7 linked regions of the Mus musculus genome follow. The protein of the gene in region 3 interacts with the protein of the main gene of each other region in a pairwise test. Links are inferred from orthologs where the notes say so. Each region holds a gene or a part of one and is shown on either strand. Other genes may lie near its edges. The genes, in order: Usp13, Gmeb1, Trim63, Pdhb, Tnni2, Pkm and Tcap.

Evidence for each region.
Region 1: the proteins of Trim63 (region 3) and Usp13 interact in a two-hybrid assay, tested with the Homo sapiens proteins (2 studies listed by BioGRID and IntAct). The link is inferred for Mus musculus from reciprocal best matches to the Homo sapiens genes TRIM63 and USP13.
Region 2: the proteins of Trim63 (region 3) and Gmeb1 interact in a two-hybrid assay, tested with the Homo sapiens proteins (2 studies listed by BioGRID and IntAct). The link is inferred for Mus musculus from reciprocal best matches to the Homo sapiens genes TRIM63 and GMEB1.
Region 4: the proteins of Trim63 (region 3) and Pdhb interact in a two-hybrid assay, tested with the Homo sapiens proteins (2 studies listed by BioGRID). The link is inferred for Mus musculus from reciprocal best matches to the Homo sapiens genes TRIM63 and PDHB.
Region 5: the proteins of Trim63 (region 3) and Tnni2 interact in a two-hybrid assay, tested with the Homo sapiens proteins (2 studies listed by BioGRID and IntAct). The link is inferred for Mus musculus from reciprocal best matches to the Homo sapiens genes TRIM63 and TNNI2.
Region 6: the proteins of Trim63 (region 3) and Pkm interact in a two-hybrid assay, tested with the Homo sapiens proteins (3 studies listed by BioGRID and IntAct). The link is inferred for Mus musculus from reciprocal best matches to the Homo sapiens genes TRIM63 and PKM.
Region 7: the proteins of Trim63 (region 3) and Tcap interact in a two-hybrid assay, tested with the Homo sapiens proteins (3 studies listed by BioGRID and IntAct). The link is inferred for Mus musculus from reciprocal best matches to the Homo sapiens genes TRIM63 and TCAP.

What each region holds. Positions count from the first base shown.
Region 1 is NC_000069.6:32,911,626-32,915,125, reverse strand, and holds part of Usp13 (ubiquitin carboxyl-terminal hydrolase 13), read right to left. Parts: coding exon 3,465-3,500; intron 1,028-3,464; coding exon 905-1,027; exon of another isoform or gene 655-904; intron 246-654; exon of another isoform or gene 139-245; coding exon 112-138; intron 1-111. UniProt on the Homo sapiens protein: Deubiquitinase that mediates deubiquitination of target proteins such as BECN1, MITF, SKP2 and USP10 and is involved in various processes such as autophagy, endoplasmic reticulum-associated degradation (ERAD), cell cycle progression or DNA damage response.
Region 2 is NC_000070.6:132,258,750-132,262,721, forward strand, and holds the start of Gmeb1 (glucocorticoid modulatory element-binding protein 1), read right to left. Parts: upstream 2,801-3,972; 5' UTR 2,742-2,800; intron 1,852-2,741; exon of another isoform or gene 1-1,851. UniProt on the Homo sapiens protein: Trans-acting factor that binds to glucocorticoid modulatory elements (GME) present in the TAT (tyrosine aminotransferase) promoter and increases sensitivity to low concentrations of glucocorticoids. Also binds to the transferrin receptor promoter.
Region 3 is NC_000070.6:134,318,120-134,321,619, reverse strand, and holds part of Trim63 (E3 ubiquitin-protein ligase TRIM63), read right to left. Parts: intron 1,989-3,500; coding exon 1,820-1,988; intron 438-1,819; coding exon 342-437; intron 1-341. UniProt on the Homo sapiens protein: E3 ubiquitin ligase. Mediates the ubiquitination and subsequent proteasomal degradation of CKM, GMEB1 and HIBADH.
Region 4 is NC_000080.6:8,165,491-8,167,741, reverse strand, and holds the end of Pdhb (pyruvate dehydrogenase E1 component subunit beta, mitochondrial precursor), read left to right. Parts: intron 1-887; coding exon 888-1,029; intron 1,030-1,260; coding exon 1,261-1,406; 3' UTR 1,407-1,751; downstream 1,752-2,251. UniProt on the Homo sapiens protein: The pyruvate dehydrogenase complex catalyzes the overall conversion of pyruvate to acetyl-CoA and CO(2), and thereby links the glycolytic pathway to the tricarboxylic cycle.
Region 5 is NC_000073.6:142,440,632-142,444,615, forward strand, and holds Tnni2 (troponin I, fast skeletal muscle), read left to right. Parts: upstream 1-1,184; 5' UTR 1,185-1,237; intron 1,238-1,837; 5' UTR 1,838-1,859; coding exon 1,860-1,867; intron 1,868-2,059; coding exon 2,060-2,066; intron 2,067-2,539; coding exon 2,540-2,581; intron 2,582-2,671; coding exon 2,672-2,800; intron 2,801-2,939; coding exon 2,940-3,029; intron 3,030-3,274; coding exon 3,275-3,451; intron 3,452-3,583; coding exon 3,584-3,679; 3' UTR 3,680-3,779; downstream 3,780-3,984. UniProt on the Homo sapiens protein: Troponin I is the inhibitory subunit of troponin, the thin filament regulatory complex which confers calcium-sensitivity to striated muscle actomyosin ATPase activity.
Region 6 is NC_000075.6:59,670,076-59,673,575, reverse strand, and holds part of Pkm (pyruvate kinase PKM), read right to left. Parts: intron 3,110-3,500; coding exon 2,839-3,109; intron 2,002-2,838; coding exon 1,851-2,001; intron 1,656-1,850; coding exon 1,503-1,655; intron 1-1,502. UniProt on the Homo sapiens protein: Catalyzes the final rate-limiting step of glycolysis by mediating the transfer of a phosphoryl group from phosphoenolpyruvate (PEP) to ADP, generating ATP.
Region 7 is NC_000077.6:98,382,572-98,385,453, reverse strand, and holds Tcap (telethonin), read right to left. Parts: upstream 1,644-2,882; 5' UTR 1,608-1,643; coding exon 1,498-1,607; intron 1,303-1,497; coding exon 909-1,302; 3' UTR 501-908; downstream 1-500. UniProt on the Homo sapiens protein: Muscle assembly regulating factor. Mediates the antiparallel assembly of titin (TTN) molecules at the sarcomeric Z-disk.

The sequences.
Region 1 (3,500 bases), on a different chromosome or scaffold from region 3:
TTCACCTAGTGCACAGACATGCAGCAAGCCACTCATATATATGTAAGTTTTTAAAACATGGCACACTGGCAACAGATGTAAGACACAAAAAGCATTTTAAAAGATACCTACGGTCTATCAACTGGTTCATCAAGCGGTCTGGAAATGAAGGGACAGTCAAAAGTGAGAGCGAGCTAACCATGGCCAACAGTTTTAGATAAGAGATTCCCAGACCCTCTCACTCCTGGTTACCCCACACACACCACCTGCAAAACACAGTTCATTACAATAATGAGGGGAAACAGCAGGCTTTGGGCACTTAGATGCAAATAAAACAGGAAGTTCTGACAGCTCGGTGAGCTAAATAATTACGATCCTTGCATGTATTTGTAAGAGCACTGTCTAACTGCAAATCAAGGGTTCTGCCTGAGCTTTATTGATAGGAGCAGTGTGGAAAACCACCTTGGCCTTCTCTCACGCTCAGTATCGCCTGTCTGCAAGCCCCCTCTGGAACCACCTGCCGACAGGACTCCAAATCAGTGACGTCGTCACAGAGTGTACGTGTCTCAAGTTCACAGTGGCAGCCAGGTTTCATTCCTATGTGTCTAGGATGACCTCACGGGAAGCAGATTGGTGGCAAAACACAGTGACTGTTCCAGGCTGGTGGAGGAGAGAGTGTCCTTCCAACTGGGCAGTGGTTCTCAACCTTCTTGATGCTATGACCCTCTTGTGGTGACCCCCCCAACGACAAAACTATTCTCGTTGCTACTCCACAACTGCAATTTTGCTACTGCCATGAATTGCAATGTAAATATCTGATGTGCAGGATATATGACATGTGATCCCTGTGAAAGGGTCATTCAACGCCCCCACCACCAAGGGTCGCGACCCACAGGTTGAGAACCACTGCAGTAGGCGATGGTACCTTTTGAGTCATCAGGAATGACTATGGGGGGGCTGATGTCAGGAAGCTCCTCTTCCCCTGGCTGCAAGCCCCTGGCTCTGAGATGGCTGATATCTAGTAGGTCTGGCATATCAATAGAAACATCTGCAAAACAAAAGATCATATTCACTGGACTCTCCCGCGCCCTCGGTCAGATCATTATAAATCTGCTTGTGCTCACTGCATGCATGTATGTAGCCAGCCTACGGGACACTCAGCACAGCAGACTTGTCAAGCCACATGGGAGGTTATTGGAGGGCTCAGGGGAAGGGCAGAGAGTGGTGGGACAGAGGTGCCAGACTGGACAGCAACAGGTCAGGTGAGCCAGAGATCACAGACCGGCAGCCCAGGCTATCTGTGGCCCAGACTCATTCCATTTGGTGTTCTTGAGATATGGACAGATTTAATGTTAAAATGCAGACTTCTGGATTTCAAATACCACAAAGCTATAGCACATTCTCCTGTGTTAACTGTCTGAGCTTCCCCTCAGCTTCCGTTCTGGACAATGGTGGCTGCTGTGACCATTTCACACTGATGCCACTGCTCTGAACTGCCCCAAACATGAACAGCATGCTTATGGAAAAGCACATCTTCCTAACCCATGTCGTAAGGCACAGCGGAACCCTCCGAGAGGGTGGCTCGTGTACCCTTTACCCAGCAGCTCTCCTTTCCTGGGTGCTGCTTCCCCTTCCTTGCACATCTGAGTTCGAAAATCCTAATTGATACTTTTTCTCGAATGGTGACAGTGACTGTGATGATGCTAAGTTATAAATCACAAAGCTCAAAAGAACCTGGCTGAACCTTAAGTGTCTTAAGCATCCGTGGCTGCTCTGGGAGAAAAATAAAGCCCTCATGCCTCAGTTGCCACTACATTCGACTTGCTCAAATGCAAGATTTATAAGCCTAACAGCTGCTGCAAGGCAGTGCTGCAACCTATGCAACTAGGAATAGAAATGAGTCTAAGTACAACTTAGCTTTGTCCTTCAGACCTGGAGACCAACTGCCTCCAAATGACGCCAAATATGTAAATCCTATTTAAGACAACAAGGCAGGTTGGGCATGGTAGCACATGCCTGTAAACATAGAACTTGGGAAATGGAAGCAGGAAGATCAGAAGTTCAAGGCTACCCTCATCTGCACAGGTGAATTCAAGGCTACCCTTGGCTACATAAGATCCTGTCTCAAAAAAAAAAAAAAAAAAACAACTAAACAAATAAATGAAACAATAACCCAAGAACAAAAGCTAAGACAGAAGAGTTAAATTTTAAGGACCAGTAAAACTAAACACAAGGTCAGATTCACAAAACGGACACAACTGTTCCTTAAGAGAAAAATCCAGGCCCTACCTTGAGATTCCTTTAAACCTTGGTCAATAAAATCCGGCTTCCTTTTTGTTCCTTCACAAAAATTCAAAAGGAAAAGCAAGCAAACAAACAAACCAAAAACCCCGTCCACAGCAATCCAAAGCCTGAATGGGTCAAAATTCTCAAGTATCTCAACCTTCTCAGAGGCCAGTGGAGAACAGAGTGGTCAGCACCCTGCCCTCAGACCCCCTCTGCTCCCTAAACTCTCCCAGCAAGAAAATCAAGGGTCTCCTGGGCACTGGGAATAGCTCAGCACAAAGGGTGATAAACTGGCACTCTGTGCCCACCAGCACCAGGCCTCCTCAGAAATCATGCTGGCTGTTCTTCCTTCTGTCTCCAGGTCCCCTTCTACCCGTGTTTGGATGACTCTTAAGGCTTTCATCGTTTTGTTGTGTAAGTGCCCAAAAACAAGTCTGTAAGAGACTGGCAGTTTGAAGTCCTTGCTAGAGAAGCTACACGGAGTGAGATGCAAATCCTTGCACAAGCCTGGAGGTCACTTAAGACTGCTCACATTCAACCCTGGTGGCTAAGGAAATGGTCTTTATGCCTTATCTGGAAAATGGGCCTCCCACACTGACCAAGGACCTTGAGTATTGATGAAAAGGCAGCCAGTGAAGCCCAAACCACATCCTTCTATCAACTGTCCAAATCCAATGTTTCCAAGTGGTTGGGAGGAAAATGTGTATGATTTAGATGAATATCACATACATATAGTACTGCTGTATCTCAGAGGCAGGGAAGGGTGCTAAGAGGAAGTTATACCTCCAGCTACCTACTACTACAAGTGTGGCGTCTGGACTGTCAATGCCAACACCATGCGGTAGGTTAGAAACATGGTCGCTCAGCCCACCTACACCTGCCAATCAGGATCTGCATTTTCCAAAGATCCCAGGTGACCTGTGTGCACAGTAACTTCTGAGATGCGCTGTCGCAAGGAGTGTACTTCCCCTCTGAGAACCTGATCCTCCCAGAGCTCAGTGGTGAGGGTGTGGTTAGCATATGGTGTTTCTTATGGTAGTGTTTCTCCTAGATTCTGGGTCCAGAGAAACCTGGGAGTAACAGAGGAAACAATGGGGTGGAAGGGACGGGGCAGACGTTCCCACAGCCTCTTTCACATGCCATGTCTGGTTAGGTGGCTCACTCTATAGTTTAAGCGAAAGCATGCAAAGGATACCTACCAAATTTTCTGGGAACCCAGTCAAGACCAAAAGTGA
Region 2 (3,972 bases), about 2.1 Mb from region 3:
CTTGAACTTTCAATCCTCCTGGCTCAGTCTACAGAGAGCTGGGATTACAGACAAGTGCTAACCGGCTGCTGCTCTGCAATTATTTTCAGGGAAGAAAAAAAAAAAGCCTGGTTACCTGAGTTATAACTCTAAACCTCATGTAAAGATAAACGGAGAGAACCAACTCCATAAAATCCTCCAGCCTCTACCCACCTGCACACCATGGCACAGGCACCCCTCCCAACATTATGCATATAGCATTATAAACTTAAGAATATTTAAAGTGAGCAGGAACAAGGCATAGCAGCACTCTGGGGGTAGAAGCAGAAGTGTTAGGGATTCAAGGTCATCTTCAGTTACATAAGAAGGCTGAGACTATACAAAACCTTTGTTTAAAATAAAAACAAAAACAAAAAAAGGAGATGGGTGCCTGCCTGCAAGATGGCTCAGAAGGTAAAGACAGGCTATTGTTATGGAGCATAAAAACCTGAGTTTGATCTGAAGGACACAGGCAGTGGAAGGAGAGACTCAAATCCTGTGTTGTCCTCTGACCTCCACAAGTATACCAGCAAGGCAGGCAGGCAGGCAGACACACCAATATACACACACAGACAGTGACAGGAACATATACATTTTTGCTGTTGTTTTGAGACACAGGCTGGAACATGCAATGTAGTTGGCCTCAGACTAGGATATCTGCCTGCTGCTGCTTTACAAGTGAGTGAGGACAGGAAGAACAGCGTGTGCCACCGTGCCAGGTAATAAATCTAAATTTAAAATCTTAGCCCAGGAGAGGCAGAAGCAGAAAGATATGCAAGTGTAAAGTCGGTCTGGTCTACACGGCAAGTGCCAGTCAAACCAGAGCTACAGAGAAAGATGCCAAGAAAATAAAAAGAAAGAAAAGAAAAGAAAAGCAAGCACGTGCTTGGTATGATCATCTCCCATCTACAAGCACGAACCTGGGCATCTGAGGCAAGACTACCATAAGTTCAAAGCCAGCCAGGGCTACATAGTGAGCCCCGGTGTCAAATAACTAACATACAGAGCAGCCTGGCATATTTTGGAGGCAGAGGCAGGTGAAATCTCTTTTGAGTTTGACACCAGCCAAACTAAAAGGAGACTTTATCTCAAAAAGAAACAAACAAAAGCCAGGCAATGATGGCATATGCCCTTAATCCCAGCGCTCGTAAGGCAGAGGCAGGTAAATCTCTTGAGTGCAAGGCCAGTAAGGACTACAGAGATACCCTGTCTCAAATACCTAAACAATTGGAGGCCAGTTCCAAAACAGCCAGAGCCACACAGAGAAACCCAGTCTCAAATAAATAGCCAAAACCAACAACAAGTCTCCAATTTGCAACTTTATTACTTAAGCACAAAACTCACTAAGTCCACCGTATGCACTTGGTTGTTCAGCCAAAGTGAACTCAGATATAATGAACCCAAGGTCATTTCACTCTGCAGGAAGTATCCAGAGGAAGTGAAGTTCTATATAAATCACAGATTGGATGGAGACTCCTATATAGGTGTTTGAAGGAATCAAGGAATACGTTTTTAAAAGTCACCCCTCTAAGAGTGTAAGAAATCAAAACAGGGCCCAAACTAACCCAACAAAGCTCAAATACACCTACTCAATGAACTTAAGTATAAAAGAAAAACAAGTTATTATATGGTTGAAAAATTAGAAGCGTTAGGCCCAAGCTCTTATGAAAACGTTCCATAATACTAGCCAAGGAAAGGGGGCTGGGCAGATGGCAAGAGTGTACAGATGTGGAGAAAACCCCTACTTCCTGGTTCTCCTAGAGTCAGTAACAGGTCGCATTTTGAGAGCTCAGGGTTTCCTTGCTCCTTGGACAGCCAGGTCAAGACCCTCGGGTAAGATTCTGCCCACATTTCTCTTGCCTCTCAAACCGAGGACACCTGGCCAATTCCCTGTCATTTCTGAAAGCAAGGGGTACCCTCTTCCCAGCAAGTACCTTCTCACTAACCCCATAACCTTAGGCTTCCCTCGTCTCCTGACGCAGGAAACCACCCTACTCTCCACCTAGCCACCGGAGGCCCTCCACTCTGAAGCCCTCACGGGGACCCTTCTCCTTCTTACTGCCCTTCATCTTGGGAAGGACGCTGCCTCCTCTCCTAAGCCCTCCAAAGGACCTTCCTCCTCCTCCTCCTCCTCCTCCTCCTCTCCAGGTCTGGTGGCCCAGGCCTCTCCCCTCGGGCGAAGGCTTGACCCTATTCCCTGCACCCCACCCCCACCCCAGCACGCCGCCCTCTCCCCCGACCCGGCCCGACCCAGGCCTGACCCAGCTCCTCCGCGCAAGGCCCAAGCTCCCAAACCCCGTATTTTTGGGGTGGGGAGGGATTCCCCTGGCCCCTCCGCGAGGACTTCCGGGCCCCTCGGTCCGGGGGCGCCGAGCCTTCCCCACCCCCCCAACCCCCGCCCAGTACGGGGTTCGTAGGACCCGGAGCCTAGGCCCGGCCGGCCACGCTGGGGGCGGCCCGGCGGCTCGGGCGGACCCAGCGGCAGCGTCCCCCCACCCCCCCCGCGGCGCCGCGACGTCCGCTCGCTCCCCGGCGGCGGCGGCGGCACGCACAGGGCGTGGGGAGGCGCCCGCGGAGGCAGCAGCCCCCCGCCCCCTGCGCGCCCGCCCGCCCTCGCCCTCGCCCTCGCCGTCGCCGTCGCCGGCCGCCGCGCGGCCCCCGCGCCCGCCCCCCCCCGCCCCCAGCCCTCGCCGCGCCGCGCGCCCACCCCTCCCCCTCCTCACCGTCTCCGTCGGGCGGGCGGGCGGGCGGCGAGCGGCCAGGGCGGGCGGGCGACGGAGCATGCGCACAAAGCCGCCACGGCGGCCGCCGCCACCGCCGCCGCCAAGCCGGGCTCCAGCACTTCCGGCCGCCGCGGCGGGCGAGCCGGCGCCTTAAAGGGGACGCGTCCTTATTGCGGGCCGCGCAGGGGATACACCTCCCCCCTCAGCCTAGCGATTTAGGGGAGCCTGAGAGCTTAGGCCTTCGGTCCTAGAAAGGCAGTGTTGGAGAAGTCGCGGGAGGCCCCAGGGGACTGAATAAGGTTTAGATGCAGAGGTCATCTCGCCCTGACTCTTGTGGAGGACTAGGGCTTTTCTTTCTCCAAATCCTCTTTATTGACGCTTACAATTTATCAGGATTTCAGGTTACCAATGTGGAATGAAAAGATGCTGCTGAGCATAGATAGTAACCCCTTCCCGCGTCCAAACCATGGCTCTTTGCGCAGGTTTTCCTGCTTGTCCGGGTTCGGAGTTCAAATTTGAACTTCCTTGGAACCGGTACAACAACTGTGCAGTGACTTGACAACTCTAAGCCACCTATTTCCCGAAAGGTACATGTCGTTCATGTACAATGAAATGATACTTGAAAAGTACTTGGGCAAGTTTCTGAGGCCGGGGAATAGTAACTGACAAGCTTTAAGGCAATGTGGTCAGGCCTTGGGGTTAGATGCTTTTGGTTTATAAATTCCTCAGAGCCACCTTACTCTTTCATTCTCATCTTTGAAAGTTAAACAGGAACGTCGGCACGTGCTGGTGGTACACGCTTTTAATTCCACAATTCCTGTCTAGCCTGGTCTACATAGTGGGTTCTAGGCCAGCTGTGGCTACATAATGAGACCTTGTCTCAAAAAAAAAAAGCAAGCCAAACGTAGAGATGAGGGGTGTGAGGAGGGAAGTAGGTCGGTAGGTAGAACACGTGCAGAAGACCCACAAGGGTTATTTCCCATCTTTCTTCCTATAGACATTGTGTTGTATCTGTCTTCTTTGCTTCCAAAGGGCAGGTTGTGGGCTGTGTGTGTGTGTGTGTGTAGAGATGGCACGTTGGGTGCAGGCTCCTGACCACCTGAGTTCCACCACTCGAACCTACATAGTGATTTTTTTTTTTTTTTTTTTTTTAATTGAGACAGGGTTTTCTGTGTAGCCCTGGCTGTCCTGGAATTCACTTTGTAGACCAGGCTGGTCTCGAACTCAGAAA
Region 3 (3,500 bases):
TCTGTATCATTCCAGAGCCCCTGAGTTTCCATAGTCCTGAGTCAAGTGTGAGCTTTTAAAGTCTTGCTCTACAGCAAAACGCTGGAAACATTCAGGGAGTAATTGGGTCTCTGCAGTCAGGGACCAACTGGGGTCTGTCTTGTCCTTCAGCAGGGTCAGACACAGCTGCTGTGTTCACCGAGGGAATGAAGAAATGACTGTGTCCTTTCCTGCCATCTCTATCTTGCACCCAAGATCCAAACCCAAATTGCACTCATAGCTCAGAACTTGCCCAGAGAGCAGCTGCGCTGGAGGCTTGAACCCCTCACCGCTGGCAGGGCAGGGCAGCTCTGCACCCTCACCTTGGTCACTCTGCAGGAGTCCTCCAGCTGAGAGATGATCGTCTGCACTCGGTCGTTGCCCGCCACCAGCATGGAGATGCAGTTACTCAGCTCAGTCTGGATGGGAGGGGGGGGGGGAGAGACAGAAATAGACTCAGAGCCCGCTGTTTCTCCAGTGTTATAGCAGTCACCAACAGGGTCGCTATCCCTCTTTCTGGGGTGCAGCTCAGGTCTAAAGCAGAGACTACCACAGATGTATCCTTTATGGATAGATGAGGCCCAGAGAGGGGAACCAAGCAACCCAAAACACACAGCAAGGCACTGACAAAGGGACAAAGGAAAACCCCTTCCTTCCTTCCTTCCTTCCTTCCTTCCTTCCTTCCTTCTTTCCTTCCTTCCTTTTCTTTCTTTTCCTTTTCCTCTCTCTCTCTTTCTCTCCTTCGCTCTCTCTCTCTTCCTTCTTTTCCTTTTTCCTCCCTCCCTTCCTTCTTTCCTTCCTTCCTTCCTCTCTTTCTTTTCCTTTTCCTCTTTCTCTCTTTCTCTCCCTCACTCTCTCTTTCTTCCTTCTTTTTCTTTTTCCTTCCTTCCTTCCTTCCTTCCTTCCTTCCTTCCTTCCTTCCTTCCTTCCTTCCTTCCTTCCTTCCTTCCTTCCTAATATGTAAGTACACTGTAGCTGTCTTCAGACACCCCAGAAGAGGGCATCAGATCTCATTATGGATGGTTGTGAGCCACCATGTGGTTGCTGGGATTTGAACTCAGAACCTTCAGAAGAGCAGTCAGTGCTCTTAACCACTAAGTCATCTCACCAGCCCCCCTTCCTTCCTTCCTTCCTTCCTTCCTTCCTTCCTTCCTTCCTTCCTTCCTTCCTTCCTTCCTTCTTTCCTTCCTTCCTTCCTTCCTTTTCCTCCCCACCCCCCTCTCAAGACAGGGTATTATTGTGCTGCTTGGCTGGCCCAGAACTCAATATATAGACTAGTATAGACTAGGTTGACCTCAAATTCATAGTGATCCAGTCTCTGCCTCCTGAATGCTAGGCTTAAAGGCCTGCACTACCATCCCCAGCTGCTACTTTCTGAGAGAAGGAACAGAATTGGAAAGTTCTAGCAGAGAGAGCCGAGTGGAGTGTTACAAACACACTGCTCAGAAAGTAGGGCTACAGCTCACTCCATGGCAGGATGCTGGGTTGCCATGGTCCAGGGAAGAGCCTCAAAGCTGCCTTAGACTTCAAGAGAGGCTCTGGTGGAGAGGTCTGGGACCACAGACTAGCAGACAGGACAGGGAAGCCATGGCCTCTTCCTTCTGGTCACACCCAGGTGCTCTCAAGTGGCTCTAAGTATAACCTATGAGCTCAGCCACCTCCCCCAGGGAGGCAACGGCTGTTGTCCCTGTGGCCTGGGAAGTCCCTCCAGAGGGACTATTCCTGAAAGGCCGGCTCAGCACATCCACAAGGGTCAAGTCCACCCCCAGAATCATCAGGGCACAGCAGCTGTAGCCAGTACCTTCTGTCCTTGGAAGATGCTTTGCAAAGGGGCAACCTCACAGGCCTGGTGAGCCCCAAACACCTTGCACAAGGAGCAAGTAGGCACCTCACACGTGAGACAGTAGATGTTGATTTTCTCGTCTTCGTGTTCCTTGCACATCGGGTGGCTGCCTTTCTGCAGGGGCCGACTGAGGTGGAGGAGAGTCACAGGTCAGGGTTGTCCCATCTGCCTGCCCCATCCTAGCTGCGAGCACAGGAAGCCACGCATCCGTACGTCAGCTCCCAGTGGGTCAAGCTGCTCCAAACATTCTCCTATTTAACTTCTGGGAACCCAAGGTCAAGGTAGCTAATGCTAGCAAGCAAATCTGTTTCCAGCCTTTAAACTCAGGCTCTGCTCCATCATTGGACCTGACCTGAGTTGTTACAGAGGGCATGGGGCGACCCCCAGAATTTCAGTCAGACCAGAAGATGCTCACAGGGTGGGAGACGCAATGGAGTTGCAGCAAATAAATGGACTTGCCCAAGGTGGCCCAGCAGCACAGCCAGAGAGGCCAGAACTCCTATGCTCTAATTTTAGCCCCGTAGATTTGGTTGCTGGGGCCTGGGCCGTTTATTCTGATGGCAGCCTTCACGTCTATATTTAATCTATGAGACTGTATCCTCCAACTGGGCAGGGAAGCCTGCCTGTATTTCTTCCCTGAGTCTATAACATACAGTACCTGGTGTGGAGACCATGGAAGCAAAATGCAGGTAGAAAGAGTACGTCAGTAAACGCACCCTGAGGGCATCCTGGAGTTCAGAGAATGAGGCAGCCTGTGCACTCTAAGCCATACAAGCATCACGTGGTCGGGGGCGCTACACAAAGGCTCTCCAGGGCCCAGAGTCTCTTCTATAATTTTAAAAACTGCATTTATTTAGTATATGTGTACTGGGGGTGGGGTATGTGTGCCACACGGCATCCATGGAGGTTGGAGAACAGCTTGAAGGAGTTGGTTCTCTCCTTCCACTATGTGGGCTCAGGGGATAGAACTCTGGTTATCAGCCTTGGCCTCAAGCACCTCTACTCACTGAGCCATCTAGCCGACCCCAGAGTTCCTTCTTTCTGTCTTCTCCCTTTATGGCTTCCTCCACTAGGGTACCTGGGATGTCGCTTTCCAACATCAGTTGTTTCCCATTCTAGACGGGGGTTTTAGAGTTGAGGCTAACTAGATCTTCCATTCCTTTAGGATAGGCTGCCGTGTCTTCACTCCCCCCTGCCCCCCCAGTCCCTTACAGCAATTCACTTCCAACAGTGAGCATCCCCCACAGGTCCGTGTGGCCCCTCCCACAGCCCTGCTGGTCACGCCAGGCTTTTCTGCCCTCTTCAGGAGCCTCTTTCCAAACACTTGGTTTTGGTTTTTTTCATCTTTGAGCCCAGGAACCCCACACTGTGGCCATCATGATGGGGGTTTCCCTGGCACCACACCATCTTGGCGATGCCCAGGGAAGGCATTAGCATTAGGCTAACATGAATATACTATAAATTTTGTCATCATCATCACCACCCAAAATAGGCATCTGAGGCCTGAGAAGATGGCGCAGGAGATGAGGGTGCTTGCAGCACAAGGCTAACAACCAGAGTTCCTTCCCTGGGACTCACAAAGGCAGAAGGAGAGGGCTGATTCCACAAAGTTGTTTCCTGACCTCCACACATGGGCCAT
Region 4 (2,251 bases), on a different chromosome or scaffold from region 3:
CAGAAGCTATGAATTGATGCCTGTAATCCCAAGACTCAGAAGATGAGAAGTAGAATCATGGTTTCCAGGCCACCTTGAGTTCTGTCATCAGTCTGTCTCTGCTTACAGCCAAAAGTGGCTGCTGTTCCGCACACAGACTCTGGGTCTCAAGTTAAGACCCAGTCTTGTTAGGCTGGGGAAGTGGCTTAGTGAAGTTGCTCTCAAGCATGGGGAGCCGAGTCCGGATCCCAGCACTCACATAAGAACAATGGCAGGGGTGGGTGGCAGCATGGGCTTGCTACCCAGCACTGCGGAGACCCTGCCAGGAGGATCCCTTGGGCTTGCTAGCTTGGCCAGCCAGTCTAGCCAGCCAGGTCCAGATTCAGTGAGACCATTTCTAAACAAACAAGGAAGAGAGCAATTGAGGAAGAAACTGGAGGTCACCTGTGTGTGTGTGTGTCCAGTCAGAAGATCCAGACTGGCAGCTGGACTTTACTATCCTGTGTATCAAGTAGTGCTTCTTGGGAAGTGTCGCTGTGCTTCGTCGGCTATAAAATGTGGATAATAGGACCTCTCAACCATAGGGGATCATGCTGTAGGCCCAGTGCATATTAAACTCTCAACTATATTTTTGATAAGAGGGATATTGAAACCAAGGAGGATAATGAATTCTATAGGTGAGCAAAGCTTCCTGTGATGGGGTGACAGGCTTTAATTGTAAATTCCCCCTTTACTTTTGTTTGAGATAAGATCTCACTGTGTTGCCAACACAGTGTCATCCTGCCTTAGCCTCCTAAGTGGTGAGCTTACAGGTGTGTGGCACTGTACTGCTTTTCCTTAGTCGATACAGTCGTGTACCTGTTTCTCCGATTCCACAAAGCCTGTTTCCTTGCCTTGTCTTCATTTAGGTAATAAATCTGCGCACCATCAGACCAATGGACATCGAAGCCATAGAAGCCAGTGTGATGAAGACAAATCATCTCGTGACTGTGGAAGGAGGCTGGCCACAATTTGGAGTAGGAGCTGAGATTTGTGCCAGAATTATGGAAGGTATTTCAAAGAACCTGGTTTTAGAACACAATCAAGCTGTACTTGAATGCCGACTTGTAAGAGATCAAAAGCTAGGGGTGACCAAGTGAATTTTCAACTTGTCAGTCTAGGGTTTTGTCTTTTGGGTAAATGTTTTTAAAAGTCAAGCCAAAAGTAGAGTCCTGTAACTACGATTCATTCTCTTCTTGAGTCCCGAGTCTGCCTCTCAGGTGAGCCATCTCTCTTCCTTAGGCCCTGCATTCAACTTCCTTGATGCCCCTGCCGTGCGTGTCACTGGTGCTGATGTCCCTATGCCTTACGCAAAGGTCCTAGAAGACAACTCCGTACCTCAGGTCAAAGACATCATATTTGCAGTAAAGAAGACTCTGAACATCTGATTCGGACTTTGAATGTAAAGTCATTGAAATCTATTTAAAATCCTTGTTGGGACTTCACCTGATGTGTACTGCGAGACTGCTAGTCATAAAGTTAATGCTGAAGTGACAGCAGGTGTCTGAACTGTAAGAAGTTTCAATGTGCTTATGAGTGGAATGTTGTCCACTCCCTACCCTAGATACTCTGCTTTGTCTGTTACTGTTTAAGTTAAATTTGCCCTCTTTCACTGGAAGGGGCAAGATAAGAATGCCCCCACAGAAGGTAACTTATATGTCTAAGAAGTATATTATCTACATTTGCTGTTTAATTGTTTTGATAAGGAATAAAGGGGATTCCCACCAATGAAGTCTTGGAGTACTATTAAGAAATTAGTGTCAAGCTGGGTGGTGGAGGCCCATGCCTTTAGTGCCAGCACTCTGGAGTGAGCCTCAGGAGGCAGAGGCAGGTAGATCTCTGAGTTCAAAGCCAGCATGGAGTACATTGTGAGTTCCAGGATAGCAAGGGCTACCCAGAGAAATCCTGCCTTGAAAAACTACATACATACGTATAGACGTATATTAGTGTCAAATAACTGATATGCTGTATATAAAAACTGTAGATTCTTAGAGTAGTTTTTTAGAGGATTTCAGTGTGTCTTTGGCTGGCCCAGAACTCAGGATCTCACAGATCTACCTGCCTCTGCCTCCAGAGAACTGGCATTAAAGGTGTGTGACACCACACCTGGCCCAAATTGAAGCTTTTTATTTCCAGAGCAATGCTCGTAATAGCCAAGCGCTCTACTACAGAACTCTATTGCTTTTATTCCTATGTCTGAAACTTTGCCCCAAACTGCAGAACTAAAACCAGA
Region 5 (3,984 bases), on a different chromosome or scaffold from region 3:
AGAGGGCAATTGAGGGGGAGTTGTGGGTAGGTACAGCTTGTGGAAAAGACCTCAAGACCATGAGGGACTGTGATACAGTGTCTTATGCACTATCAGCAGGGGGCAGTAGATGTCTTTGGAAGCTGCTCTGGAGCCTTTGGGGGCTCACAGCCCTGGCTTGTGATATACCTCTTAATCCCAGCACATCTGGCGGGCTTTAGCAGCTCCAACCCTCCTCTGATCCCCAGGGGCCCCAGAGCAGCAGGGTTGGGGCCAAGCCATGATCTGGTGTCTCTGGGTGGGGTTCAGAAGCGGGAAAGGAGTAAGGGCCTGGCCCCAGTGAGCCGGGCAATGCAGGGCCTGCCTAGGCAACCAAGGGCCCTGAGCCCCCACAGGTCAGAGAAAGGTTCCTAGGGCGGTGGCACCACTCTCTGGGGTTGAAGGACATGTTTCAAGTTGCCTGTGCAGAGGCACCCATGGGCAGGGTGTGTGGCAGGCGGAGAGAGGCCCGGCTGCTGGTCCAGGGACCCTTTTGCTTCTCTCTTCCTGGGCAGAAAGGCAAGTTCACTATAAGAGGTGGGCACCACTCTCCTGAGCCCTGACTGCCTTCCACACAGGGCCTAAGAGAATGCTTTTGTTTTTGTTTGGTGTGTGTGTGTGTGTGTGTGTGTGTGTGTGTGTGTGTGTGTGCGCGCGCGCATGTGCGCTCAATTTTGCAGGAAGACTGGTGAGGTGAACAGTCAGCCCAGGGGTCCAAGCAGGGCATGAACACCCAGCAGGCAATGAGCGGCCAAGTGGGTGCAAAACTACAAGACCACACATACCATTTGACAATGACTCCAGTTCAGCCTACTTTTGGTGAAGTCCGGTTTCCTTTGGAGGAAGACTTCAGTGGATGTTTGAGCTGGGTACCTTGGAGACCCACATGGAAGGTTACCCTTGCTGTCCTGAGGGCTCTTGCAGGAACAAGGCTGGCATCTTGAACTCGTCATTGAGACATAAATAGAGCAAACCACCCCCAACTCCCCACCCCAAGACTTCTTGGACAGGCCAGCGCCTGGGCTGACCGGCCAGGCGGCTGGGCAGGTGGAGAGGCTCTCCTCCTCTCTGTGCCCCCATTGGTCTGAGGAGACTCCATGCCCTTTCTGAGCAGGGGCCCGGCCCAGGGAAAGCAATTTATACCCCTCCCCCTGGCCCACCAGCCCAACTCACTGCTGCCGGCCTGACCTCGCTCCCAGCACTGCTGCACAGCATCTAGGTGAGGCCCAGCCCATCTTCTTGAGGTGGGAGACTAGAGCACTACTCAGGCTGGCTCATAGGAGGACTTCCCCGGGCAGGGGCTTGGGGGTTTGGGGGTCTGCTGCCGACAGCTCTCTCTGAGGTCTCCCACAGATCTAGGGTTGAGAGCAACATGTGCTACTAGGATAGGACAGGGGTCTACAATGGGCCTCGGATAACAGGCCCTGTCTCTGGGGACACACAAGCAGGAAAATGTTCAGGTCAAGCAAGTAGGGACCTGAGCCCCCAGGCCACACAGAAGAACACTTTCTTCCGTGCATTCACTTCTCAAGCCAAAGGAGCAAGAGTTAAAAATAACAGGCTCACCCTGGCAGCCACCTGTGCTGGCCAGCCCCACCCCATCCCTCCCTCGGGGACAGCTGCAGCTCCTCAGGCCCCGCCCGGGACATTTTGGGAACACTTTCTCCTCTTACTTCTCATCTTCAGGGTGGGGGTGGGGGGTGATGTCCTCTGAGAAGGTCTGAGTTGCGGGTAGAGCAGAAGTAGCCTAGCAAGGCCAGGTCTCCATGCCTAGCCTCACGCAAGGCGGACACTGACACCATCACCTCTCTCCCCACAGGATCAGAGCTTGAGATCTCAGGATGGGAGAGTAAGTGATACCCAGGGTGACCCGTACTGCAGTCCCTCACCAGGGCTTGGGTCTCCTATCTCCCTGCCCTTTGTGGCTGCCGCCCAACCCTTCAACCCCATCAAACCCTAGGTTTCATGGCTACTCCTGTGAGCCACAGTCTAACTTCTCTTTTTTTCTCCCACTCCCACCTCCCTCTTCCTCCTGGGACAGTGAGGAGGTGAGTATCACTAGAGGCTATAATAGTCCCCTGAGGCTAGGACAGAAGACACCCCTGTCAAGGCCCCCAAGTGCCCCACCCCCTGAACTACCCCCAGAGAAAGAGAGGAAGTGCCTGCCTGGTGCTTTATGAGGCAAGGGAAGTAAGACTTGGGCCTAGTCACAAGGGAATCACTTCTCCTTTCTAATTTCTGTTCACCACTCACCTTCCGGGCCTCCCCTTGCCCACAGTCCCTGAGGCCTGGCTATATCCTGCCTCCTTATCCCCATTACCCCCTTCAGCCCTATGTACCACCTAAGCAAAGAGTCAGGACCACAGGCATGTGTCCCTGAAGCAGGCCCTGGACTAGGGAAAAACACCAGGGCCCTGGGCAGTGGCCTTGTTATCTCCTTGGGAACCCCAAGTCAGATGACTCTAAGCAGGTCAGAGCTCCAGCTAAGGCCTGACTCTGACCCCTCTGTCCTGTCCTGCAGAAGCGCAACAGGGCCATCACGGCCCGGAGACAGCACCTGAAGGTAAGGGTGGGCTGCTGCAGAGGCCTGTGGATATAGAGGTAGGGGTGGGAGTTCACTGCAGACCCTCACTCCCACCATTCTGTTTCTCAGAGTGTGATGCTCCAGATAGCGGCCACAGAGCTGGAGAAAGAGGAAAGCCGCCGAGAATCTGAGAAGGAGAACTACCTGTCAGAACACTGCCCGCCACTGCACATCCCAGGCTCCATGTCTGAAGTGCAGGTAGTTCCTTCCTGCCCCGTACCACCCAAGACCCTACTATCCCAACTCCTCAGCAGGTCAACCCTCCTGATCAGGACTGGGAGGGAACAATGATCCTCAGGTATCAGGGTGGCCACCCACCCACTGCTTGCCCACCCAGGAACTCTGCAAACAACTGCATGCGAAGATCGACGTGGCTGAAGAGGAGAAATATGACATGGAGGTGAAGGTGCAGAAGAGCAGCAAGGAGGTGAGAGGGAGGAGCCCGTGGTGAGGGGGTGGGGCATATGGCATGGGGAGGAGCCAATGGTGAGGGGGTGGGACATATTGCATGGGGTGGAGCCAGTGGCTTGCAGGGTAGCACAGGCGATATGAAGGTGGAACCAGCTGCTATGGGATGAAGCCAGGTGATGAGAAAGTAAGGCCAAAGATACAGGGCAAGATCAGGGACATGGAGGCTGTCAGGCTCCTAAACCTCCTGTTCCTTCCTCCCAGCTGGAAGACATGAACCAGAAGCTATTTGACCTGAGGGGCAAGTTCAAGAGGCCCCCACTTCGGAGGGTGCGTATGTCTGCCGACGCCATGCTGAAGGCGCTGCTGGGCTCTAAGCACAAGGTGTGCATGGACCTGAGGGCCAACCTGAAGCAGGTCAAGAAGGAAGACACTGAGAAGGTAGGTCAGGGCCCAGGGGAGAGCCAAGAGGGAGAGTCCACTTACAGTCCCTTTCATAGATAGTAAAGCAAGGCCAAGGGTAGTCTGGAGCAGACTGGAGTGGATCTGAGACCTCTCTGGTCCTACCCTCAGGAACGGGACCTGCGTGACGTGGGTGACTGGAGGAAGAATATTGAGGAGAAGTCTGGCATGGAGGGCCGGAAGAAAATGTTCGAGTCTGAGTCCTAACTGCCCACTTCCCCAGTACCACCCTAGCATTGGGGAAGCACCCAACATCCAGTCTGGGAGTACTTGGCCTCGCTCCAATAAAGGATTCACATCTCTTTCACAGTGTGGTCTAGTTCTGTCTCTGCCCACTCTGGAGTCCATCATCAGTGACCAGCAGTGTGGCAGGAGAGAGGCCATACTGCTTGGGTAGAATTCAAAGACCCTGGGCTGTATCCTGTAACTGGTGGGTGTGGTCAATGTCTGGACCTGTCTAACATGACAGAACGTGGAGAAAGATGACCATGGACTCCAACATATCTGAGTGG
Region 6 (3,500 bases), on a different chromosome or scaffold from region 3:
ATAGCAAATCTGTGCTCAAACACACTATCACATGTGATTCCCTTTAAAAAGAAAATGAGAATGCAAAGATTACATCAATGAGCCCAGAGGGTTATCTAACATTTCATTATGGCAGTAAATTGTTTAATGTTATGACTAATTAATTATAATTAATCTCATCAAATGCCACCTTGGGCAAGGTCTTGCGGTCATATAAGTCACCCAGAGCTATACAAAGATAAATCCATGTATGTGACTGCATGGTTTAGACTACCTGGTCTTGTTCCTGACCACTCTGAGGTGATAAGACAACTAAGCAGGTGACTAGAAAAGAAGGGGGTTTGGTGTAGATCAGGAAGGCACACAGACTGCTGGAGAAGGAATGTCTGCATGCTAGCTACTGAGAAGCTGTGAAGATCAGCTCCCAATACCAATCAGATCAGGAGGTGACCAGCTGAGACAAGCTGAGTTCAAGCTTCTACAAAACGGCTGGTCTGTTTCAATATAGGCACACATCTGGCTACAGCTACAATTCAGATAAACCATGGGTAGATCATGGAATCTACTTAACAGCTGTACACAAATGAAGCAAGGTAAGATGTCTAATCCTGAAGGGGGCTTTTTTTTCTTTCAGTTTGGGGGCTTATTGGAAACTGGAGACACAAAAAGAACAGTGGTTCTTTGCTGGCCGAAAAGGGAATAGAAAAGCTCCAAGAAAGTTAGCCAACAATGCTTTCATGAGGCAAGGAAAGGTCCTAACTGGCGCCCTAGCTAACTGCTCTGCTCAGGAAGTTCTGGGTCCTCACCCATCACAGTCAGCAGGAGTCAGGTCAGCTGGAAGTCTGTTGTTTCTGTAAGATAATGCCTTATTCTAGCCCAGCCTAGCCTCAAGCTATCTTCCTGCCTCAGGCTCTGAATGCTGGACCTCCAGACCCTATCTTACTGAAACCAGAAGACTTAGTCAAAAAGAGCATAGATTTGCCCAGAGAAAGTCTTTATAATCTCCAGTCCAGAACCTGCTAAATTCAGCACCCATTCCCCACGCCCAGAGCTATTTCTAGCCCTACATTGGGTTTGGCATAGCAAGAGACGTCCCATGTGACAGGCACCATGCAAGGCCAGCTCAAAGCAGCTTAGTATGGCTACAGCCTGCAGTGCAGAGAAGCATCTGCTCATGGGACCATCAAGAGATCAAATTAGAAGCCAAACCAGGCGAACAGCCAAGAATACACACTCTTGGCTCCTTTAGAATAGAGGCCGCCCCGCCGTCTGGGTGTTCAGGAGGGAGGAAGGTATCCCTTGACTAAGTCCTAGGACTTTAATATTTTAGCCAGATGTGGCCTACGTAATGGAAAAGGTAATCGCCAGAGCAGGACAACGTGGTGGGGCGCAGGCAGCGAGAGCACAACGTGAAAATCAAGAAGCAGAGCATGCTCCACACACCTCACTCTTCTGGCCGTGGTCGGAGGGAGGTAAAAGACTGGGTGATGCAGAGGCCTTGGTGGTAGGCTTGGAGGACTTACCAGGTGCTGCATGCGAACAGCCTCCAGAGGGTAGTCCCCCTTGGCTGTTTCTCCAGACAGCATGATGCAGTCTGCTCCATCCAGGACTGCATTGGCCACATCACTGCCTTCAGCACGGGTGGGGCGTGGCTTCTTGATCATGCTCTCCAGCATCTAGGAGGGGACAGACAAGGGCTCTCGGTAAAAGACCATCACTAAATGAGATCCTAGGCCATCTTCAGTGATAATTGCCAAGATAATTCCCTTAAGATTGTGCAGGTGCACAGATCACAGCTATGTGTGCCCAAAGGACAGGACAAGGCCAGGTCTCCTAGGTGGAGAATGCAGAAGGAATGAAATAGCACATGCCTGTGTGGCACAGATGACAGGCTTCCCAGCTCGGTTGCATCGCCCGATCATCATCTTCTGAGCCAGGAAGACCTTCTCTGCAGGAATCTCAATGCCCAGGTCACCACGAGCCACCATGATCCCATCACTGGCCTCCAAGATCTCATCAAACCTGGTAAAGAAGAGAAAGATAATAGAGGACAGGAAGCACAACCAAAGTACCTGGGATCCCGACAGAGATGCTTTCAAAGGTCACACCCAGGGGCACACAGGCGAGGGGGCATCCACAGCACAGTATGATAATACTCACAGCACAACAATTTTACTGGCTGGACTTCTTAAACACCATAATAAATATTTCAGGGAGGTTTTGGTCTGCATCTCACCCCCCACCCCGTTTTGTACTTCCCTAATCGACACTTCAAAGACAGAATGAGGCCAGTGGATCTTCTACAAAGTGGATCATCATTTAGCTAAGGGCACTGACTGCTGCCCTTTGAGCTGACCCACTCCCCAGCCCCAAATACCAAGGCCATCAGCACCTATGGCTTATCAAGATAGAAAGAGACTCCCAGTTGCCCAGTACAAAGGACACAGAGCCAAGCCCACTGTAACCCACAGAAGCAGTTCTAGGGGAAGCAGTAGGGAGAAAGCCAAGTATGAACATTTGTCAATAAACCACTCATCCTTATGAATGCCACCTTAATTAATTTCCATTTACGTAGGCATCATGCTTCTCTATGGGAAGCTGAATGGGCCACTCCTCATCAGCACCATTATCAGACCAGAAGATTTCTAAGGCTTCAAGCTTTAGCATGGACATCTGAGGCCCTTGAGTATCCAGCCGGGTCCCAAAATGATGACTAAAAATACTTGGCCTCCCTAATGCTGATTCAGATGTCCGCCTGGACCAATCCCAGCAGGCTGTATTTTGCTGAGCAGGTATCCAGGACACACCATGGCCACACCCCTCTCAAGGGCTGGGCAATGGAAGGGTCTCAGGACTCACCTGCGGACGCCTTCATGGTTCTCGATTTTGCTGATGATCTTGATGTTCTTGCCCTTCTCTCCCAGCACCTTCCTGACTTCATGCACGTCGGCTGCCTTGCGGATGAAAGATGCAAACACCATGTCCACATCCTGCTCCACCCCAAACTTCAGGTCCTGGATGTCCTTTTCCGACACAGCGGGGAGATCCACAGCAGCGCCCGGCAGGTTCACGCCCTTCTTGCTGCCCAAGGAGCCACCATTCTCCACCTCCGTCACCAGGAAGTCAGCGCCTGTGTGAAAGGGATCACAGAAGACCACCTCAATTTACAAGAAGCAGAGGGAGGAGGACTCTAAAGCCATAATTAAGACTCCAACACACACAAAACAAAAACCAAACCAAACAAAACACTTCAGGAAAGCCAAGTCAGTTTTCTCACCTATAAATACTTACTTACAAACTGCTAAGAAAATTTGAGTTTTAGGTATGGTAGCACAAGAGGCAAATGCAAACAGACCTTTGAGTTCAAGACCAGCCTGGTCTACACACACAGTTAATTCCAAGTCAGGCAGGGCTACAAAGGGAAACCTTGCCTCAAATTAATGAATAAACAAATAAATAGCCACACGAGGTGGTGTACATTCTTTTTTGGTTTTCGAGACAGGGTTTCTCTGTATAGCCCT
Region 7 (2,882 bases), on a different chromosome or scaffold from region 3:
GGCCAGACACCCAGGCTGGGATGGGGATCATCACAACAGCTGCAGAGGTCACAGACAGGAACTTAAACCCTGTCCTCCCACCCAGGCCAGGGACAGTGGGACACCTGATGCCAGCCAAGGATTGATTCTGTCTGGATCTACAACTGACAGGCCTTAGGGTCACTGACCCCATCCACACCCCAAGGCACAGCCAAGGACGGCCCTGGTGCCAGCCCCTTCCATAACCTCCTCCACAGATATCATTTAAACAAACCTTGAAGCCAGCTGGCCTGCTAGACACGCTCCAGTGCCAGGAACTGGACATGAAGCCAGGGCTGGGCAGTGGCACAGGAAGGGGGACCAGACATTCCCCCTGTTTACAGCTCTGCCCCTGTACCCCACCCCTAAGCATGGAGTGTACCCTCTGGTTATGCCAGATTTAGCTCCAATGCTTGGCTGTTCCCAGAAGTGCACGGTGGACATTCATGCCCACCCCAACCACAAAGAAAGAGAGAAGCGTGGAACATGGCTGAGCATTTATTGCAGTGCTACCAGAGGGTGCTGGGGGCCTGCCCACTTCCACCCTCTTCACATCCCCCTCCTTTCCAGAGCGTTGCACATCCTTCTCCTAGTCCATCTGTTCCCGAGCAGGCCATTCCCAGGGGCCTCTCCTCTCACCAGGATCTCTTGTCTCTTCTTCTGGGGCTGAGGGTGCTCAGCTCTCCACTCCTAGTGCCCGCCATCCTCGCTCCCTTCCCTGTGGGGACTCAGGACACCTAGGCATCCTGGCCTCGGGCTCCCTCCTCCCATAGCTCCCACCTCTGGGCAAACTACAAAGCAGCCACTGCCAGCAGCTCTCCTCCATTGTCCTAGCCAGGAAGTGCCTAGCCTGAGACAGACACAGTGGAGTCTGAGTCACACAGTCCATCTCAGCCTCTCTGAGCTTCCTGAGACATGGATCGAGACAGGGTACGGCGCAGGGGCCCGGGTTTGCTGACTGGCACCACAGGGGGAAGCTGCTTTGTGATCTCAGCCACGTCCTGGCGCTCCACGCACTGGCCGCCCAGGGCCGTCTCCAGGGCCAGCAGCTCCCGAAGCTGGATGGGGGTCTCCTCGCGCTCCTCCTTGGAGGCCCCCACCTTGGTGGGCGTGAAGATGGGTAGGGGCAGCACCCGCTGGTACGGCAGCTGGTATTCCTGTAGCCCACGGCCGAGGATACCCAGGCGCATCACCAGCCATGGTGAGCGCTGTACCACCGCCTGACACTGTCCCTGCCGGTGGTAGGTCTCATGCCTCTGTGTATCCTCCTCGTGCAAGGAGCATCTGAAAGTGGAAAGGAGACAAAGGTGGTGAACTGAGGGCAGCTCTTCTCTGGTCTTGGGCTAAGTGGGGTCTCCCTGGCATAGCTAGTTCCCTGGAGCAGGGGAGGGGCCCCAGAAACTTCAGGGGCTTGTACTCTGATATGTAGCAGGTGCTTTGGGGGAGCAGAGGCAGAGCCTCCCAATGATTCACACTCACCCCTCTTCCGGCCGGGTAGACAGAGTCAGGTCTTTCCACTCAGCCCAGAAGGCTTCCCTGCGTTCCTGGTTCTCCTCAGACACTTGGCAGCTCAGCTCTGAAGTGGCCATGATTTCTGATTGCTCCCTCTGCTATGTCCTGCTCCTCCAGAGCCCTTTAAATAGCCCCTTCTTCCCCCTCTCCCCCTTCTCCAGGGGCTATTTTCAGCCCCTCTGGCGTCAGATGCTATAAGCAGAGCCAAGACTCACTGGTGGTGATGGGGCTCTGAGTCCGGGGCGGGGGTTGGGGTACCCAGATTCTGGTTGCTCCCAGGTCAGAGGTCAGCTTTCAAAGCCTGCAAGATGCTCTGTTGGGGACCTGGGTTCTCAGAGTAGCACCTCTGGGTGTCTGGCATGCTGCAAACACCACCTCGGACCAGGCACATGGGCAGCCTCGTGCCACCTTGGCACTGTCTTCCTCTGCTCCCCCCTTGCTCAGGGAGGACAGCAGCTTGTCTGTAAACAGAACAGGAGAAGCAGGAACTGATGCCCTCCTCGATCTGCCCCATGCTACCCGGATCGTCTCTCCTTCCTGAGCTCAAGGGCACATACCATAGTGAGGTCCCTTGACCAGAAGGATCACATAACCGAGTCTTCGGGTTGCCTGTACAGAAAGCAACACACCAGCAGGGGAGAGGACACTTCTGCCACACCCGACCTCTGGGTATGAGTCTGTGAGCTTTCATTCCTCAGGGCCAATCATTAGAGAAGTGTTCTCCTAAATCCCACCAGTCGGGGTGAAGGAGGTAAGAGTGGGGGAGGTGGCCCCTTCTCCTCTGCCTGCATGGAGAGAAACACTGTGAGACAGAAACAGAGAAAGCCCATTGAACAGGGTTAGGAGATCCAGACCAGCCTCAAGCTGGCTCTATTTTATATAATCATGGAGCAGTCTCTACCCCTTTCCAAGTCTCCCTTTATCTGCTTTTCTTTCTCTTTCTTCCTTCCTTCCTTCCTTCCTTCCTTCCTTTCTTTCTTTCTTTCTTTTTTTCCTTCTTTCTTTCTTTCTTTCTTTCTTTCCTTTCTCTTCCTTCCTTCCTTCCTTTTTTCTTTTTCTTCCTTCCTTTCTTCCTTCCTTTCTTTTTTTCCTTCCTTCCTTTTCTCTCTCTCTCTCTTTCTTTCCTTCCTTCCTTCCTCCCTTCCTTCCTTCCTTCCTTTCTTTTCTTTCTTTTTAAAAAGATTTTATTTAATTAAAGTATATGAGTACACTGTCATGTCTCAGACACACCAGAAGAGGGCATCAGATCCCATTACAGGTGGTTGTGAGCCACCATGTGGTTGCTGGGAATTGAACTCAGTGCACTTAACTGCTGAGCCATCTCTCCAGTCCCTTATCTACTTTTCTAGCCA